Solanum lycopersicum: one gene and its partner. The main gene of each other region encodes a partner of the protein of the gene in region 2 in a complex. Links are inferred from orthologs where the notes say so. Each region holds a gene or a part of one and is shown on either strand. Other genes may lie near its edges. The genes, in order: small ribosomal subunit protein bTHXc and small ribosomal subunit protein cS23.

The links.
Region 1: small ribosomal subunit protein cS23 (region 2) and small ribosomal subunit protein bTHXc share a complex: the UniProt entries of both Arabidopsis thaliana proteins name them as parts of the 30S ribosomal subunit. The link is inferred for Solanum lycopersicum from reciprocal best matches to the Arabidopsis thaliana genes PSRP3/1 and PSRP4.

What each region holds. Positions count from the first base shown.
Region 1 is NC_090804.1:66,172,001-66,175,691, reverse strand, and holds small ribosomal subunit protein bTHXc, read right to left. Parts: upstream 2,335-3,691; 5' UTR 2,112-2,334; coding exon 1,934-2,111; intron 1,832-1,933; coding exon 1,767-1,831; intron 877-1,766; coding exon 754-876; 3' UTR 623-753; downstream 1-622. Other genes in the region: uncharacterized protein, read right to left, coding at 3,561-3,691.
Region 2 is NC_090804.1:4,043,201-4,046,958, forward strand, and holds small ribosomal subunit protein cS23, read right to left. Parts: upstream 2,310-3,758; 5' UTR 2,223-2,309; coding exon 2,001-2,222; intron 974-2,000; coding exon 692-973; 3' UTR 575-691; downstream 1-574. Other genes in the region: homologous-pairing protein 2 homolog, read right to left, coding at 82-109. UniProt on the Arabidopsis thaliana protein: Component of the chloroplast ribosome (chloro-ribosome), a dedicated translation machinery responsible for the synthesis of chloroplast genome-encoded proteins, including proteins of the transcription and translation machinery and components of the photosynthetic apparatus.

The DNA of each region.
Region 1 (3,691 bases), about 62 Mb from region 2:
TAGCTTAACCTGTACATCAAAATCAGCATTTTCTTCAACCAATATGTATGTGAATTCTATTTATCCAACTTGTGTCCTGCTGTAAAGCTGGTTTATGATTGTATAGTGGACGCAGACAAACTTGGTGACCCAAACAAAAGAAGTTTTTTTGTGACTGGATTTGCTCACTCACATCTTGACTAATTCTTCGAGGTAAAGGTTACCTCCAACCAGCACAGATATGGAGTAATTCTATCCACGAAGGTCTAAATAAGAACCACCTAGGGGTCATTTGGTAGGATGTATTAGCTATGACATTTTTTGATCCTTTCTTTGTTCGAGGCCAAAGTGCCCTTGATAATATATCAAACCAAATAGTGGGTAGGAAATAGCTCCAACATAACTAATCCCAGCATTAGTAATACACTATATATTACTATTCTTATACACTCTACAAAAAGACCTCCTAATGTGTTTGTCTCCGCTAGTATATGAACCTAAAACCTCGTGGTTTTCAACCCATAAGGAATGTGGGGTTCTCTAAGCTTTTCACTTTTCTCAATAGCTAAAGTAGTGACTATTACCACTTGTCTACTGAAGGTTGCTAGAACCAAAATGCATAATTTAACAGGACACAAGAGCATTTAAACGAAGACCCTTCAAGCAAACTAGAAATCTCAGTCCAAATGATTAACTTAATCGATATTTCAATGAAATAAACAAAGTAGTAGAAGATTAGAGCTACATAAAAATGAAATTGCTCCTCCGAGAAAACTATGGGTCATGTATTTCAATTTTAACGACTTGGCCATCATCAAATGGATCTCTCTTTGGTGCTGCTGGTGGTGCTGCAACCCTAGGTGGTCCTCTTCCCTTCTTCTTGTTCCTTGGCCTTGCCTAAACCAATTCATACCATCGGAATCAGTTCAAAATAACAACAAAAAATGTCGAAACAACTGTTGTTTTTTCACTATTTCTGTCAAATCTAACGAACATAAATTGTTAAACGTATGATGATAACACTCTAAACTTCAAAGTACTAAAAATTGGTTAGAGCATATTTAACAGACTATTTTGAATCTATCATCAACATTGGTGGTTAACGAAGAGGGTCGAGAATCATGAGGTTTCAGGTTCAAATTCTATCAGAGACAAAATAACACTAGGTAATTTATCCCATCTATTGATAAAATTAGTCGAGATGCATCTAGGTTGCAATCAAAAATAAACTTCAAAACTTTTTAGGGGTCAATTCGTCTAAATGTATGAACAATTGAATCTCAGTATAAAATTCTATAATATTAAAAGCATTAAACTCCTGCATTAATTATGCAAAACCTTATGCACCAATAATCTTATTCCAAGTGAATCTATAAATCATTTTATATGGAATTAACATTCATTTAATCAAATATGAGTTAAAAAATTATTCATATTAAGTAATTTGTGTTGATATCTTATTTATCAATTTCAACAAAACACATACTTCTCTTTTCTAAAATTTAAAGGCATAAATACATTAAATATCTCATGGAATTATTTATTCATCTTCGATACACTCGTTATTTTAAGCCAATACCTTTAACTCAAATATGCAATAAATTTAATCTCAAATTCTATTTCGAGATTATTATTCTTATTCCACGTATCAAACTAGAATGTTAGTGTAGGATTCTCCTAATATAGAGGAGGTAAGTGTTTGTTTATAAAATATACAGGGGTGTATCTGAAACTAAATCATATTAAGGAGGTCTTATCCTGCAATAAACCAAAATATACAAACTCACATTGCCAAAGGAGTGATTGAACCGCTTGCCTTTCGCCGTCTTCTTATCACCTCTACCGCAGTAAACTGAAAATGAAATCAAATCAAAATTTCAATTTCTCGAACTGAAACTTCAATCATCACAAAATTTTCACAAACAATAAATTCGAAAAGGTATGTGATTCGTACCCAATGGGAGATTTGAATCAGTGAGAGACGAAAACGAAATTGATGGTGAAGGAGATGCCGCCGTAATTGAAACGCTGCCGGCGACGGAGTGAGAACGAGAGAATGATAAATTAGGAGAAAGAGAAGCCATGGATTGAACAGTACTCATAGGAACTGAACCAACTAACAACGACGCCATTGCAGCAGCTCAACTGATAGAATTGAGATTTTATTTGTGGTGGTTCTATAGCTTCTTATTCTGTTTCTAGATAATGTGCCCTTTGTCTTTTTTTTATTCAAATACCCCTGAATTAAGGTAAAATTCACTTATTTTTCCTTGTTTTTTTTTTTTAAAAAAAAAAACGTTAAGAGTTACTTGGATGGTAAATACCATTCATTTTAAACTTTAAAATTGTGAATTCAAGTTATCAGAAGATCAATTATTTTTTATGTAAAAGTATATCAAGCAATAAACTGAGACCTGAAAAGGATTGTTTGGAACGAGAAATAAGGAATAATAGTGTTATCTCAAACTCTATCTGTTCCTATTTAGTTGTCCATTTTAGAAATGACAAACATATTAATATAGCAATAATTAGAATAGTGAAGTTACAATTTTGCCCTTATTAATTATGATTTCGAAAAAGATGAATTAAAACTTAAAAATTTTCAGGAAGCTTAAATAAGAATATAATAAGAAAAAAAATTATCTTTTTTTATGTGTGAAAATAGACAAATAAATTGCAAAATGAGACGGAGGGAGTATAAATATAGTTAGATTTCATCACATACATAAAGAAATTTTAACATATATAATAATTAAGAGAAGTAATGAGATAATAGTACACCTCTATGACAGACTACTTGTCTACATTAACAAAGATATTTATTCAAAATTACTTGTCAAATTAAAAAATTAATTCTATTTTTTTCCATTTTGCACCTTAAATCGACTCTTTTTGATTAAAAATATAAATATTGTAAAGTTCCTCTTTTGTTATTAACAGATAAAGACACAAAAAATAGAATTTATGAAAAATAATTATAACAGTAAATTAGTAAAAAAATAAATATTTTTAATATTTCTTAAAAGACAAGAAAAAAGAAAAAAATGTACGTTGATATACAATGTAGGAAGTAACACAATGATTAATCATACAAGACATTCCCAATTGATTATAATTTTTTTTTTACCAAACTCACTCAAAAATACAAAAATATATTAATAACAAGTCAGTCAAAAGATGAAATACCCTACTCTACAAAAATTTGAGAACTCAATTCACTTATTATCGACCACAAAATTGACCTCGAACTATGACAGTACAGATTCATATAGTCGACCTCAACTTGTTTGGTACTGAACCGTAGATGTTGTTGTTGGTGGTGGTGAACAGCTCCCATGCAAATCACTCTACTCAATCTAGACACAGAAAATCAAGAACAAATAATATAGCCATTTCCCTACAGAAAAAAAACACAATAGATCGATCATTCACGTTAGTATTTATTCAAATATGTGATTTAAATCGACGTCTTGAGGAACTTCTTCTCCACTCTGTAGTTAAAATTACCAGAAGCATAAGGGAATCTCACCATTTTTCTCCTTAGTTTGATGCATTTCTTGAACAATTTTTCTCTGTTACGACTAAACTTCTTCACCCTTCTTGTTATTGATAGAAGAAGTACTACTTGGAAGGAAACAAGTTTCCTCGCCACCCGTGTTCCACAAGAAATTGGCATATGTACATCTATAATAAGGGTTCCTAGGCTCAGCTG
Region 2 (3,758 bases):
AAGTCGATAAGCTTTAGAATCTGTAAATTAAGATTACAACTACGAAAATATTCAATTCTGTTATCCGGCGAGAGAAGTTACCTTCAGTGTTATCTGCTTTAGGAGCCATGGATTGGAGAATTCACAGAGCGCGGGAAAAAAAACTTCTGTCAAAATTTCTGTACTTCGAATTCACAGGAAACATTGGGCACGAAGGCCTTTATACGATGTCGTAGTTGAACATCGCGGGAACTTACCCTTAGTATAGCCACTAATTACGAAAAGAGGATTCTTCCATCGCAAGTTTCAAGTGAGAGTTGCCATAGAGCCCATGGGCCTTGTTAGGATGAACCAACCCAACTAGAGAGACTTTACGGGCTTTTAGTTCATAATAAAGTCCAAATATAACGGGCGGTGGAAGATGAACAATCGCTAAAAAATATATTGAATTAAAAGAAAACAAAATCGGCCATGGTTTCAATTTTGTGCGTATAAAACTTGTTGATACTATCTTCATTTCACCTATCTTATTAAATTATTCACAAATTTTGATTATCTTATCGTCCAGTCAGAACACATTAAACAATTTAAAAAATGAAACAAAAATGATTCCAATTGTATTCTCCATCAACTATAGTACAGTTAAAAATAAGATAAAACAAAAACAGAAAGTTGAAACAATTTGTCTACAAATAAATACCAAAAACAACAATTAGGTCAAATTTCCACCACTCTGCTGCCACAAATTGATAATATCAGTAGCTTGATTAAGCAAAATAATCATTTGCTTTTGTGATATCCATGGCTTACTCTCTAGTGTTGTTTTCAACTCTTCCCATGCATCTTTTCTAGGCCAAAAAAAATATGGACTTAATGGTACACTTCCATGGTCTGGTAAAACTTGATCAAGGCCAAGTCCAATATTTTTCTCCATCCATATGAATTTTAGCACTAGCCTTGGCTTCTCAATTACCTTTTTCTTCATATCAACTTTCTGAAAAAAATATATCCAAGAATTCACTATAAGATATCAAAACATAATATCCTATCCTTTTTTGGGCTTATTATTTATATAGTCGTACGTATCTGGAATGAATTATGTGCATTCAACTGAACTTCTTATTTTCATCTTTAATAATGTAGACGTTTCAATACGAGTTTGAGTATTTGACACGGGTGGAAGTCAGAGATTGGATTTTGTCATAGGCGTATCTAGCTAGGATGAGTTAAATGTGTTCAAGTGTTCAACTGAATCTGTTATTTTTGGGTCAATATGTACATACATTATGTTGTTTTGGTACGGGTGCAAGTATATGACACAAATGTTTGATCTAGAGGTTGAATTCATCATCACTAAAATTTTAGGGCTCGAGGGTACGAATTGATATATCTAGTTTTTGTCGAAACATAACTTATATTTATAGGTAATGCTATAATTTAACTCCATTTTTGTTCTGTTTTTAGCTAAATGATCAATATATTTCCCCAATTATGCCTTTTTTTTATTAATTAAAACATTCATAAATTTGCTAGTTATTACTCATTTTCATTAAGAAGTTGTTGGACTACCATTTCATATTTAGAAAAGTCGAACAACACAGTACGTGTTAAATAATCATAGTAAAAGTGAATTCAAAGACTTAAAAATTCTAGATTTGTCGTATATATCAAATGATTCTAAAATATTACTATATTATCCTTTGAATATAAATTTGATGCTTTGGAAAATGTATTATATATTGAATAGTAGTATTCAATATCAAGGGTTTTCATGTTTTTCAAATTGGACAAGTATTGTTAGACGACTATTTTTAATATAATGACCAAGTAAAGATGGATTGAGGGAGTATTTACATTCTTAAATTACGTATCAAGTCAAAATCAGACAAAGATTACTCAATTTTACTAGTGAGAAGTAACACTACCATTCATGAAATTAATTGAGTAGCGCAAAAACTAATCTAGACACTAAGTTATCGAAAAAAGTTACCTAATTGAAAATTAAAGAGCTGATTTTTTACCTCAATTTCTTGAACAACAGACTCTGAAGTCTCAACTTCAACTGATTCTGCTTCTGCAACTGCTGAAGCAAAAATCTTATGAATTCTTCTTGTTGATAAACCTTTGTTGTTAAAAGATAATGAAGAACATGATTTGAAGGATTTATAACCTGGATTTTGTGAAGGTAAAGAAGGGATACTCAAATTGCCTTTCAAGCTAGATTGAACAGACATTGATAACATTTTTTGTGTAGATAAAAAAAATATTTGTCTAGTGATGAAAAAAAGTGAAGTGGGAAAATTGTGGCCTTAAAAAGAGTGTGTATAGAGAATTTGAGATAATGATAGAATGGATAAGGTAATAGAAGAAAAAAAATGAAAGTTGTTTAAATTGGGCTAAGAGGCCTATGGGTGAGGACTTTGGTCATGTTATGGGATTTGGGCCCAAAAGAAATATGATCATTAGTTATCATAGCTTTACTAATTTTGTATATTTAGCAACGTTGAGTTGATTCGGGATGTCAAACGAGCGGATTGAACAATTTTTTGAGAGTTAAAGTTGTGTTGATAAACGAGTGGTATCGATTTGTTTGAAGATTATAAATTTGAGATAAGATGGGTTAGTATTTTGTCGTAGTCTAATATGTTCAACTTTTATCAAGTTTACAATTCTTAGTAGACAAAACTTATGAGTATCAGATTTTTATAGATTAATTTTGTCATCCCTAATCAAATTGATCAATATTATCTGATTATTCAAAAAAAAGTAGAATGTATCTCATGGGTGAAGATTGTTCGTGCTTCTCAAATGTTACGTACTTTTTTAGGTCATTAGTCAGCAACTCTCTCGACAATGACTTCACATTACTTTTTTAACACGTCTATCATTATTATTTTTAGAAAATCATTTTTTGAGATAGATGTTGCGCCTTGAACATGTGGATGAGTGTGATATATGTATGCCTCTTTGACTATTCGTGAAATTAAATCTCTAATATTAACAAAAGAGGGGCATATTAAGAATGTCCTAGAGCTACATTCTTTCTTATTGGTATTAATAAAAAGCCATCTTTTTAATAAGATCTGAAAAAAAATTGAAAATGAAGTTCATATATCATAAATATTTTTCTTTCAATGTCATTTTCTACATAATTAGTAAAAGAGACGACTTTTGATATATATGTCCATGCGTACTACTCATTCAAGTTTATGAAGAAAAAACATTACTTGAGCTGAATTTTATGATATTGACAAAATCATATAATAAAAAAATAATAATATTAATATTAGTCATATTAATTATGAAGTGATCAAAATGAGTTGCAAATTTGAAGAAACCACTAATTCAATTCATACTTATAATTTGCCCTTTACATACACAAAAAAGTATATTTTTATGATCAATGTGACGCTTGGTTTTATTTTTCCTAAGAGCTAATATTGGGCTAGAGGTGTCGTATCCCGGAAGAACGGAGATTGATGATGATATCGTACATTGCATAATTGAAATGGACTGGATAAAATGAAGGTTCGTACTAGGGTACTATGTGATAAGGATGTGTTGTCAAGTCGTAAATGTAAGTTCTACAGAATGATGATAAGAACAACGTCAAATGAATGAGTTGAATTGAATTTAAATGAGTCAAAATGAGTTGAGTTAATAAATAGACTGATCAGAAGTTATTTAAGTTTGAGATAGTGCATGTCATAACCCAATCCACCAAATTCTTATTAAAAACATTTTTCTAACTACATTTTTTTATACATAAAAATTTTAAA